Linked DNA regions of Nothobranchius furzeri. The protein of the gene in region 3 interacts with the protein of the main gene of each other region in a biochemical or structural test. Links are inferred from orthologs where the notes say so. Each region holds a gene or a part of one and is shown on either strand. Other genes may lie near its edges. The genes, in order: neurabin-2, tlx1 and ppp1cc.

What was found.
Region 1: the proteins of ppp1cc (region 3) and neurabin-2 form a complex in vitro, tested with the Homo sapiens proteins (2 studies listed by BioGRID). The link is inferred for Nothobranchius furzeri from reciprocal best matches to the Homo sapiens genes PPP1CC and PPP1R9B.
Region 2: the proteins of ppp1cc (region 3) and tlx1 form a complex in vitro, tested with the Homo sapiens proteins (2 studies listed by BioGRID). The link is inferred for Nothobranchius furzeri from reciprocal best matches to the Homo sapiens genes PPP1CC and TLX1.

Annotation. Positions count from the first base shown.
Region 1 is NC_091756.1:47,290,698-47,294,614, reverse strand, and holds part of neurabin-2, read left to right. Parts: intron 1-1,080; coding exon 1,081-1,201; intron 1,202-1,415; coding exon 1,416-1,520; intron 1,521-2,518; coding exon 2,519-2,651; intron 2,652-3,917. UniProt on the Homo sapiens protein: Seems to act as a scaffold protein in multiple signaling pathways. Modulates excitatory synaptic transmission and dendritic spine morphology. Binds to actin filaments (F-actin) and shows cross-linking activity. Binds along the sides of the F-actin.
Region 2 is NC_091752.1:8,276,854-8,281,113, reverse strand, and holds the start of tlx1 (T-cell leukemia homeobox protein 1), read left to right. Parts: upstream 1-1,097; 5' UTR 1,098-1,388; coding exon 1,389-1,809; intron 1,810-3,178; coding exon 3,179-3,416; intron 3,417-4,260. UniProt on the Homo sapiens protein: Controls the genesis of the spleen. Binds to the DNA sequence 5'-GGCGGTAAGTGG-3'.
Region 3 is NC_091757.1:28,388,015-28,392,274, reverse strand, and holds the end of ppp1cc (serine/threonine-protein phosphatase PP1-gamma catalytic subunit A), read left to right. Parts: intron 1-2,394; coding exon 2,395-2,529; intron 2,530-2,822; coding exon 2,823-2,912; 3' UTR 2,913-3,471; downstream 3,472-4,260. Other genes in the region: pptc7a (protein phosphatase PTC7 homolog), read left to right, coding at 4,050-4,251. UniProt on the Homo sapiens protein: Protein phosphatase that associates with over 200 regulatory proteins to form highly specific holoenzymes which dephosphorylate hundreds of biological targets.

The DNA.
Region 1 (3,917 bases), on a different chromosome or scaffold from region 3:
CCTCGCAAAATGACTGAAACATTAGACTCTTATGGGGTTTTCTCACAGTAAAATTCTCACTATATTCTTACATAATGCACCTTTAACTCATTAAATCAATCAAATCAACTTTATTTATATAGCACTTTTCATACAAAAAAATGCAACTCAAAGTGCTTTACAGATTAAAATGGCCCCATAGATCCCACATTCCCATCCCAGGCCCCCTCCCCAAGTATAAAACAATTAAAAATTACAGTTCCCTCCCGCACCCAACTTCCAAAAGTGGACATACAATCACCCGCACACTCGTCCATGCACACACACACACACGCACACACACACTCGTGAACACCAGAGTAAACTGCTGGCCATTTCCTGATCAGAAAAGCCTCATGCTGCCAGCGTTTTTGAGTGTTTTTACTGTTTTTTGAAGAGTCACAGAACGTGGTGCTCTACCATGATGTCAGCGCCAAAACTACCAAAACAAAGAGTAGACTCACTTCTAACATCAGGAATAATCCTCGTGTTTTTAGCATTATTCGTTCTTTCATTCTCTTTTGTCGAATTGTGATCGGCAGAAGCTTTTCCGGTTCGCGCCTCACTTTTTTTACAGCAGCGGCCCAAAACGATCTCCTAACATGGATTTTCTGCTTCATGTGGCGTGAGACGTATGCAGATGAAGATCAGCTTTAGAGAAGTGATGTTTGTTCTCGCGGTGCGGGGGCTCGTTCCAACGCCCGCCCAGTACAAAAATGCAAGTGACGACTTTAGTCGTCAATGGCAGTTAATGAGTTAATAATGTATGACACAACACAACACCTTTTTTCTCATGAAAAGCACAGCAAAAAATAAAATTGTACATTTTTAGAATTTCTTTTTCTAGCTTTTTCACAACAGTTAAAACTTCCCTGCAGTTGGTTTTCTTTTAAGTATTATGTACTTTAAAGGGGGAAAATATTGTTTACTAGTTCATAACTGATAAACCAGTTTTCTTACGCAGATAAAGTCCAAATATGGATTCATGGTTTCCTCCCAGGGATGACATGTTCATTGCATGACCAAAATAACTGCTGGCCTGGTCTCCCTCTTTGGTTTCAGATAGCGACGGTCTGGGCATCAGCATCATTGGGATGGGTGCAGGGGCCGACATGGGCCTGGAGAAGCTGGGCATCTTTGTTAAGACCGTTACAGAAGGAGGGGCAGCTCACAGAGATGGGCGGTGAGTTCATGTTTCAGTGCTTGACCTTTGATCTGTGCAGAAACATCCCAGTGAAGCTCTGAGAAACCTATCCTGAAGCAGGAGATTTAGTTGAGGAGGCTTATTTAACTCCCAGACTCTGTTGGTTCTGCTGCAGAAATAAAAGTCTTGCGAATGCCTTTTGGCGTGTGTGGGTTGAGCTGCATGATCTGTGTTGATTGCTTCTCTTCTCCAGGATCCAGGTGAACGACCTTATTGTGGAGGTGGACGGGACGAGTTTGGTGGGAGTCACGCAGAGCTTCGCTGCCTCCGTACTCAGGAACACCTCAGGAACTGTCAAGTAAGAGTCGATTAAGACAAATTCATCCTGCTTTGACCCAGTTCTACATCAAGACAACCATCAAGTCAGTTTTTTTCATTTGGCCATGTTCTACGTTCTTACAACCGCCATTACTCAGCGCGGTTTGACATCTAGCATTCTTCTTTAAAACGATGGCTTCCTTTTGATATACATCCACCCACAGTCTGCCTTCTACCACATCCTGCCCATTCAGTTAACCAGACTTTAGATTTACGTATGCTGCAGCTCCCACAGGGTCATGATTATAACCTTCTGCATTTAGGAGCTCCTGAAAAAGGCCCAAAGAGGAGAAGCCACAGAAAAGCCTGTTATCAGCAGCAGATACAGAAGAATCAGTCGAAAAAGCCAGCAGGCTATTTGTAGATGTTGCTCTCTGGAGTTTTGGTGGCTCCAGCAGTTGCTGTGAGCTCCTTTTGCTGTCCGAGCTCATTCATAATTCAGAGTTTTGGTGTCCAGAGCTATTGGGATCATTCTTTAGTGTTGGGTGAGTTATGAAGATCGGAGACCTCTTAGCTCATACATTATGGATCTGCTGCAGCGGCGACGGAGGCCATCAGAGCTCAGAACTATTCATAAACACCAGGAAGACAAATAGCCTGGAACAGGAAGTGTGTTTGTGAGCATTTAATTACCCGTAAAAGGAAAAGCGAGAGACGGAGACGGCTTTTTAATGAAAATCTGTTGATCAGCGATGATTCAGTGAAAATTACATGGCTAGCTTTAATTTGAAAGGGATTTTTAAGCTTCGATGAGGAAGCATATCAAATCCATGATGAGCTGTAAGAGAGGCAGGATTTGGTTTTAAAGAAGTGAAGAGGATGTTAGTTCAAAAGCAAACAGGAAGCTATTTCCTCTCATTACCTTGCATTAATACCTTTAACTACACCATCTCAAGAAGCTGCTTATCATTTATGGAGAACACTGAAGTCCTGCACACTGTGCACCAAGGGCCCTGACTGGTGATCATTTAATGACAGGTTTGTGATTGGCCGAGAGAAGCCAGGCGAGCAGAGCGAAGTGGCTCAGCTCATCCAGCAGACACTGGAGCAGGAGCGCTGGCAGAGGGAGATGATGGAACAGCGCTACAACCAGTACATGGACGAACAAGAGGTCAGTCGGGGCCGTGCGCCACCTGTAGCTGCCATGTTGATTTCAGATCTGGACCGCCAAGGCTTTTCTGGCCCAGGAGCTTGTGTGCAGTCATGTCATACCTCCATGACTCCAGCAGAAGTGTGTTAAATTAGCTCAGTTAGCATCTTTCCGCAGGAATTCACAGGCTTTCTGCATTTGTTGGAAAGAGTTTTTTTAAACGCTTTTTTAAGTCTTGCATTTGCAGACATCTTATGTTGTTCATGTAGGCTGAGCCATTCCCACATGCATTTAAGTATTTAGTGTCATTTTCTGAAATTGGTGCACAATACTAATAGACCTTATCTCATGCACGCTCTCCCACTTTAGCTGGAGTCAGTGCAACATCACTGGACAGCTGCAGTGATGGGTATGAGAACACTGGCACTCCTGTTCTGAAACTGATCTGAGAATTAGAGATTGCGCTGCTGGAAACAGTGACAAAGCTGAAGGTGAAGAGCAGAAAGTGAGAGTGTGATGCTCGTTAACACACCTTCCTCTTTTACCCGTCAGACTTCCTGATTTATATAAAATCCTTTAGATTTAGTTGTTGCAGCATAAACACATTCTTACACAAAACTGAGATATAAATAAAACAAAAGTAGCTTTAAATTTAATTTTAGCCTTTACAACTGGTTTAGAAAACAAAATACTACCTTTAAAAAAGAAAATAGGGCTTTTATTTGACTTTCTCATTGTCTCCTACTTCCTGTTAGGATTAAGACTTTTATCTCACTACAGTAGCAGACAATAAAAGTGTCCAGCATGCACTGTCTGCATCATCAGACTGTAAGCTGAGCTCAGAAATGGGGCCAGATCTGGATGACTCAGATTTTGTGCTCTCGCCTTCTTTGCTCTGTCAGATGTTTTTTTCTCTACTCAAAATCCTACTGAGGTTTTCTCCTGATACCGGAGTGGAAAACGTCCCTACTCTCGCACTGTTAGAGTGGGCGGTTCTTGAAAAGATGTACATTGTTGGAATGCAAAGAAAAAATAAGAAGTGGTCGTTTGAGTTTTGCACCATCTAGTGGACATTTAGTGTAGTTGCATAGAAGAAAAACAATCATCGTTTTCTCTTCTGTGGATTTTTAGTCTAACAGTAAACAGATAAGTTCATTTGTTTTATGAACAAAATGTCTAGAGATAAGCCGATAAAATCGGTTCAGAAAACCAGCAGCGAATAAGCAAGACCTCTATGTATCGGTATTGGTACTGACTAGTAAAACCCACATCGGATGATCTGTTGTC
Region 2 (4,260 bases), on a different chromosome or scaffold from region 3:
TGACTCATGTCTGGGATTCTTTCCCAAACCCAGAAGGACTCTTAGACTCTGAAATGAAACCGTTCGCCCAGTTTTTGAAGACGAAACACAGCCTGTGACGTCACAGGTTCCTGCCAATTAACCGTCAGATAAAATGATAAGTTACAACTAATCAATTCATCTGTTTAAACTTAAATTAGCTTATAAATCAATTAAAACAGGTGAGTTTTTTTTATGTTATCTCAATAATATTCAGATTTAAACTGTGCGCGAGACGCATTGTTGTTGCTGGTCGGGCAGCCAATGAGAACTTTCCCAAACATCAAATATTAATATCCAAGTAGCCGTTAAGTAATTAGGTCCCCGTGGACTTCCGGTGGAGAAAATCAATGAGAAACATGGTTTAATTTATCATTTAATTGTTGGAGGTTTGAGGCGCAGAAAAGCGCAACAGCGCTGCGGGTTGTTTATCATCTGCGCCTAATGAAAGATTCTGTTTTTATTGGAGCTTTAACCCGCTGATGGGAAAAAAGCATCCATCATTTCCGCTTCCGTTTCCCAATCGCAGCAAAGTGCATCTAATTGTAGTTATTACTTATTAAACCCGCTTCATCCCTGCACATGAATTATTAACCACCTCACATCCTCCTCTAATAACAATCATTTTTCATTCATTCATTCACTCATGTGGCAGAATCAAACCAACACCTTCTATGGTTTAGCTTCAGACGATGCTGCCAACAAATTCATTCATTCATGTTTTTATTTGGATTCAACATTTTAGAACATCCTTAATTCGTGACTTTTTTTTTGTTAGTCAGCTAAAACAGCTGATAGTACAAAAACAATAAAATGCCGTCAGAAAATCATCGATCTGCGAATAAAGATTTATTTTGTTTTTTCAAACAAGTAGAATTAGACAAAGTTTCTGCGTTTGTGTGTGTTTGTGTGTGTGTGTGTGTGTGTGTGTGTGTGTGTGTGTGTGTGTGTGTGTGTGTGTGTGTGTGTGTGTGTGTGTGCGCGCGCGCGCGCGCGCGCGCTCCCCGCAGCCAGTCAATGAGCAGATAAATCTTGTGGTTCCTCTAGTTCCGGTACCGCTGCTCTCTGGGGTGTTCCGGACCGTCCCGGTGGAACAGTCCGGTTCTCACGCACAGGCCTGAATTCGGGTTTTAATCTCGCGCTGTCTATTTGGCACTTTGATTGATGTTCCCGCACAGCGGAGGGGCGGGCAGGCCAGCACCCGACTCCCCACCCTACCGCTTGTGCGCACAGAAAGACGCGCACACGTGCGTGTAATCGCTAGACAGCGATCGGAGGTCGAGCAGAGGAAGCGCAGACGGGAGAGTCGAGGGAGCGGCGCGCGGAGCATCCTCTGTTCCTCGAGCAGGAGCGGGGGGCTCACGACGGCCATGGACCACATGGGGCTCCTGGGGGCGCACCTGCAGCAGCAGCACACGCACGCGGAGCCCATCAGCTTTGGCATTGATCAGATCCTCAGCAGCGTGGAGCAGAGCTGCATGCTGGGCGCTAGGATGCAAGAGCCGGACTACGGATACCCGGCCTATGGAGCGGGCGGCGCGAGCGCCGGCTTCGCCTGCGGAAATGGAGGATATAATGGCACGGGCGGCGCGTGTGGGGTCGCCGCGCTTGGAGGGGCTTATCACATGAACATGAGCGTGAACATGAACGCAAATAATGTGAACTCTGCTGGGGTGATCCGTGTCCCCGCACACCGGCCGCTCAATGGTGGGAGCTCGTCTGTGGCGCCGAGCGCGCTCACCTTCCCGTGGATGGAGAGCAACCGCCGGTACACCAAGGACAGGTTCACCGGTACGGAGCCAGAAATAATAATAATAATAATAATAATAATGATAATAATAATAATAATAATAATAATAATAATAATAACACGCACACGAGCAACTAAATTAGCTGCAGTAACAAACAAATAATAAATAATAAATATACAGCTAACGAATAAAATAAAAATAGTTTATTGTTTAAAAGAACAATAATATTATTAATGATAATTCAAATAAATGAACGAAAATAATACATTTCTCTTGCAATAATAAAAGAGGAATACGTTTATGATTAATTTTATCGAAACGTAATAATAAATTGAAAAAACCCAATATAGTTTTAATGTAAAAGCAAATTTCTGCTTAAGAGTCTTTTGAAAATTAAATTAGTAAAATTAATTTAAATTTTATTTCTCCCAATTTTCAGCAGTCTAAAAGTTTCTTATAATTATTAAATTATTCATTGTATTTCTTATTTATTACTCTGTTATCGCACTGCAAGAAACAGTATGAATTAGGCTGAAGCAGGTGTGTTAATAATAATCATTATATTATTATTATTATTATTATTATTATTATTATTATTATTATTATTATTATTATTATTATTATTATTATTATCATTGTTATTAACATTGTTATTATTGCTGATTAGTTATTGATGAATTCTAATAATTGCTCAGAAGTGCGTCACTATTTAATGTTTAAAAAATACCTCCAGAAAACCAAATGAGTGGTGAATTTAACTCTTCAGATTAAATTTTTGTTTGAAACCTGCAGGCAGAATTTGGTTTTTAGAGTTTATTTTTTAATCGTACTGGTGTAAAATTTTTAAAGTAAAATGTGTAAAAATATGTTGTTGAATTTACCTCAAGATTCAGATGTTAAAACACTTTAAAGTCTTTTTATTTCTCTGGTGTTTTATTATAAGGAGGATCTAAAAATCTAAACAGAGTAATGTGGCAAAATTTATTTTATACCATCAGTTTATCTGTGTGTGTGTGTGTGTGTGTGTGTGTGTGTGTGTGTGTGTGTGTGTGTGTGTGTGTGTGTGTGTGTGAGAGAGAGAGAGAGAGAGAGAGAGAGAGAGAGAGAGAGAGAGAGAGAGAGAGAGAGAGAGAGAGAGAGAGAGAGAGAGAGAGAGAGAGAGAGAGAGAGAGAGAGAGAGAGAGAGAGAGAGAGAACAGGAGCTGTATTTAGAGGTGGAGCTTTGTAAATGTTACTTCCGGGTCTCCGGTTGTGTGGAGTGAATGAAAGAATGAATTACTTGAAATGAAAATAAGATCCAGACTATGTTGCTGCTTCTTTCTGTTTTTCTGTGACGCTGCTGCTGCTTTTCTGTCTGACTCCTTGCTGCTTTTCTTCCCGTTCTGTCCCGTTCTGTCCCGGATGTGCAGTGTCCCTCTCACCCCTCACTGTTACACGCCGTGTAGGTCATCCGTACCAGAACCGGACGCCGCCGAAGAAGAAGAAGCCGCGGACGTCGTTCAGCCGCCTGCAGATCTGTGAGCTGGAGAAGCGTTTCCACCGACAGAAGTACCTGGCCTCCGCGGAGCGCGCCGCTCTGGCCAAAGCCCTGAAGATGACCGATGCGCAGGTCAAGACCTGGTTCCAGAACCGACGGACCAAATGGAGGTGATTCGGTTCTTCTGTAGTACCACCAGAACAAAATGCTGATGAAGGTTCTCAGTCATCCAGGTCTGCTAATCCAAAGGATTCCACTGAAGGCAACTGGACTTTGGTTTCTTGACGTTGCGCTTCTCATCTGAGGAGCTAGAGCATTCAGTGGAACCATTTGGATTACCACCAGAACCAATCATGGATCACACATGAAGGGAAAGAGCTGTTAAAAACTTTGTTTGGTCCCTTTTCAGATCTAAGGTCATCAGTCGATTAATCAGTCAATCAACCAATTACATTTGAATCTGAAAGGATCAAAGCGGACAAGAGCTCATTTATATCATTGGCCTCTAGCACGTGACCACTGTCTTGCGTCAGCGGGCAGGTCCCTTAGAAAATGTTCAGGATGTTTGATATTTATTATTATTATTATTATTATTATTATTATTATTATTGGTGTTGTTATATATTAATAAACATCATCATAGCAGAATTTTAGATTAGAATATTTAGAGTTAATCAGATTGTCTTTTTGTCTTTTTTTTGAACATGCGTACATACACATAGTAATACACACAACAGAAGTAACTTATTCTCGGTTTTTTATTTATTTATTTTTATTTTATTTTTTTTAACACATGTTCAAAAGGGAGTAGGATGAAGCATCAGCTTATTTAATCCCACCCCTTTCTCGACATCAAATAACTAATAGTTATTTAATGTTGTCTGGTTTTGGCAAATGACTTTGCAACAGCAATTAAATTTTTATAGACTTTACTGTTTATTTTATTCTAAACACTTTGAAGTATTTTGTATTTATTTTGGCCTAGTTAGATTAATTTGAAGATTTTGTATTTTT
Region 3 (4,260 bases):
GTTCCTCTCAAATGGAGGGAATAGAAGCTAGCTCTCATTCACTCCTCCATGAAGGTCCTGATAATGTAAACAGAGAAGCATAAAACAGGATGTTAGCTGCAGACTGAAACAGATCCTGTTCAACTCATCCGCTGATTAATGTGTTTATGTAAGAACACACATAGTAGTGTTGTGTTTAGATCAGTCATATGGCTGAAGCCTGCACCTACATGCATGCCTCTCTGTCAGCCAGATGCTAAATGGTGGAGAGTTTTAATATTTCTGTGGGTTTTTTTTTAGTATTTGGTCTTTTTTCTTGTTTCAGATCATTCAGAGCGTGGACTCAGTTAAAAGACAGGAGGGTTTTATGTGAAAATAAGACTTATTTTCTTCTTCAGCATCTAAAATCAAGAACCGTTTCAGAAGTTTATCGTTTGTAATATTAGTATTTGAATACTCAAGCCACATCACATAAAGCAGACCTGCCCAACCTGTACGCATTTTGCGTAGCCAATTTGGCATCTATCTACGCTGGTACGACTCACCCCTCTAAACTACGCAAAAAGCTAACGATACGTGAGTTGAGTTCTGTGGCAAACATACGCGTGTGGTACTCATGTCTGACAACACGACTCAGCGGCGTGGGGAAGTTTAAGCCAATCATCGTAGAACAGCAGAGAAAAGCTATCCTGCCTAACCAATAGCGTAACAGCCCCGCCCTGCTTCGTACTGACCGCTGCTCCTCTCTCCCTCCGGTTCGCCACTCGCTGCAGCTCTGGTAAGGTAAACTGTGTTTGTGTGTGTGGGCCTGCGTGTGTGTGTGTGTGTCAGCGGGCCGGACTGGCTGTCTTTTGGTGAATGCGAACGCGTAACGTTACTTTCACTGTTGAATATTCAAGCCAACATCCGAGTGAAAAAAAACTAAAAATGTGCGACTAAAGAGAAAGCAGCAGGTGTGTGTGTGTGTGTGTGTGTGTGTGTGTGTGTGTGTGTGTGTGTGTGTGTGTGTGTGTGTGTGTGTGTGTGTGTGTGTGTGTGTGTGTTTTTGCCTTTATCCATGAAGATAGATTTAGCCTGTATTATAAGGAGGAATGTGATTATTTATACAGTTTAAACTTGCAGCCATTATTATTTTTCACAGCTCGTTTTGCAACTCATGCTATGGCAGATGAGGGAAAAGCAGGCAGGGAGGGGTTGGTTAGCAGACCTGCCAAAAAGAAGAGGGTCCAAGTGTCTCAGAAGTTTTTGTCCAAATATCAACACCTCACCGTGCATTTAGCACAATCTGCAGTTATGATGTGGACATGAGCCACCAGGGAGCTGCAGGTAATTAGTAAATTAGCCCTGGTGATGTGTGCATATGTGCTTTAAGCCAATTTAATATTGCAATTAACAAAATAAATAATTACCATTAATATAATTGTTTTTTTAATTGATTTGTATTGAAATAATTTAATGCAAGTAACTTGTATAAGCACAAATATTATATAAGGAAACTTTAGAGTTTTACTGTTTAATATTAAAATACATGACACTTTGGAGTCAGGTCAGACTGTAAAAATGTCTATAACCTTACTCGTCAAAATAAGAACTATGAACAACAACTGCTAACACTAGCATACAAAGTCCGAGACGGTACGGCTCCCATCTACCTGAATCCTCTTGCAAAGGCTTACGTCTCGGCCCGGCCGCTCCGGTCATCACAGGATCGTCGGCTAGCAGTGCCTACACCACGCTCAGGACAATCCAGACTCTTCTCATGCATCGTTCCACAAATGTGGAATGACCTTCCAAGCACTACCAGAACAGGGGCTTCCTTTTCAATTTTCAAGAAACTCCTGAAGACCCTGCTCTTCAGAGAGCATCTTCTAAACTAACACCCTCCCTGCACCCGCCCCCCCTCTCTACTGTCCACTCCTTGTTCCCTCCTCTCCATGACTGATGTCAAGTTGTTGTTGTTGTTGTTGTTAGCCTCAAGGGCAACATGCCGATTATCACTTGTAAGTCGCTTTGGACAAAAGCGTCTGCTAAATACATAAACATAATTGTGCGCGCGTGTGTGTGTGTGTGTGTGTGTGTGTGTGTGTGTGTGTGTGTGTGTGTGTGTGTGTGTGTGTGTGTGTGTGTGTGTGTGTGTGTGTGTGTAAAAGTTTTCATCCAGTGAATGGGGAGATTACAGCGTGAAAAGCAGCGGAGTTGCAAAAGTCTGCAAAAAAACCGCCGCACAAGTGGTACTCAAAAATTTTGACACGGTTGGCAGGTCTGCATAAAGTACAAGCCCATTAATGTTGTCTGGCCTGAATTGGTTTTCTAGGAAGAACTCTTTAAACCATGAGAAATATCATAAAGCTTTGTAATGTTTAAGCTGAGGCTCTTTGAGGAGTGACATCGTCATTTTTTGTTTTATCGTGGCAGGTTGTTGAAGACGGCTACGAGTTTTTTGCAAAGAGGCAGCTCGTCACTTTGTTCTCAGCACCAAACTACTGTGGGGAGTTTGACAACGCCGGTGCCATGATGAGCGTGGATGAGACACTCATGTGCTCCTTTCAGGTAGTGTGTCTGTGTTTGTAAGTATAGGAGGTTTGTTCTCATTTGGCTCTCTGGCTTACAGGAGGAGCCTACAGGAGAAACGCCGTATGGTAATTCAGTCACATCACATTTGGTTTGAACTCATTAAAATTGAAGCTAAATATATTCTTGAAGCTAAAGACTGGAATATTATTTAGTGGCAGGTCTACCTTTACACAAATGCTTGAAAAAAGTCTGATAAGAGACACGTTTAACAACATTACTCAGTTCCTGGGTTATACCTGAACATAACAGGTTTGACTTTTTCTGTTCAGATTTTGAAACCAGCTGAGAAGAAGAAACCCAACGGCAGCCGTCCTGTGACTCCCCCCCGCAACATGGTCACCAAGCAGGCTAAGAAGTGAGGGGCTGAGTGGAGGACTAGTTGCCAGGGTCTGCTTTTGTCTTCTGCATTTGAGGAATTGGTTATTCTACACGCTGCCAATATTGAAAAAGTGTCCACTCCTACTAGATGAAAGCAAAATATTTATTGTTTTTTTTTTCCACAGGGGCAAAATCAATATGTCACCATGAAAATCCTCAGGTGTTTTGCACTCCATTTTGCAGCTAGTCTTTACCACACATGACTGTTCAATCAGGAAAAGCATAATAAATACAGCTACTTATGCACAGGAATGCCTTGTTTGAAGCTGTGCACAACTTTTCAATTTGTTTCGTGTGTCATTCCTTTGTTTATTCTCCCTCACAGTTTGTAATTGTTAACGGATATAAAAGTATGAAGAAAGTCGGACGTCGGTTTTCTTCAGCGAACTTTATTGACATTTAATTTTCTCAGTGTTCTAGAGAATTGACTACACACTTATCACATTTTTAAACGAGTCTTGTGCTCAATTAAATGAATAAACAAGAACTCTTGTAATGTCTAAACCTTTCTAATAAACTTTAAGTGTATTTTTGGGGGGAGCTGGTGTCTGGATGTCTCTTTCTGCAACTTTTTTTCCCCTCAACATCAAACAGCCCTGAAACCTTAATCTAAAAGGATGTTTCCATGAACGTCCACAAGAGGGAGATCACCGGGGATACAAAGCACGTTACTGGTCGGTCGTTTTGTTACTGGTTGTAATGGTTTTGAGTCCAAAACATTTTATTCGTTTTTCTTTTTTGTATGGTATCCTGTGTGTGTCGAGCTCAATTATAGCAGACTGGAGGCCTTCCTGTTGGGTAACGGGGCTGAACGTTGTTTGTCCTTATTAGGAAACGTTGTTTTGGTAACGTCTGACGTCAGAGGAGTCATAAGACCGTAGTCGGTGCGGAGCGTGGCGCGAGGCCACAGCAACCTCAGGCGCCAGCATGGCCGCTCACCACCCGCCGTTACAGCTAAAGCGTGGTGTTTTCTTTGGGTTCCTGTTTCACTAGAAGAGCCGGTGTTCGAGTGTCCGGTCAGCCCGGCTCCATACCGCGCTGCCCGCCAACACTACGTGGTGGTTCCGGCGACGCGGCTAGCTTGGCCGGCTGGTTTGTGCGGAGTTGGTGCGTAGGGGATGTTGTCGGTGCTGTCCTACGGTCGACTGGTCGCCAGAGCTGTCATCGGTGGACTTTCTCAGACTGACAGTCGCGACTACAGCCTGGTGACGGCGAGCTGCGGCTTCGGTAAAGACTTCCGCAAAGGCATCCTGAAGAAAGGGATGTGTTATGGGGACGACGCGTGTTTCATCGCCCGCCACAGGTCTGCTGATGTTCTCGGTAAGAGTC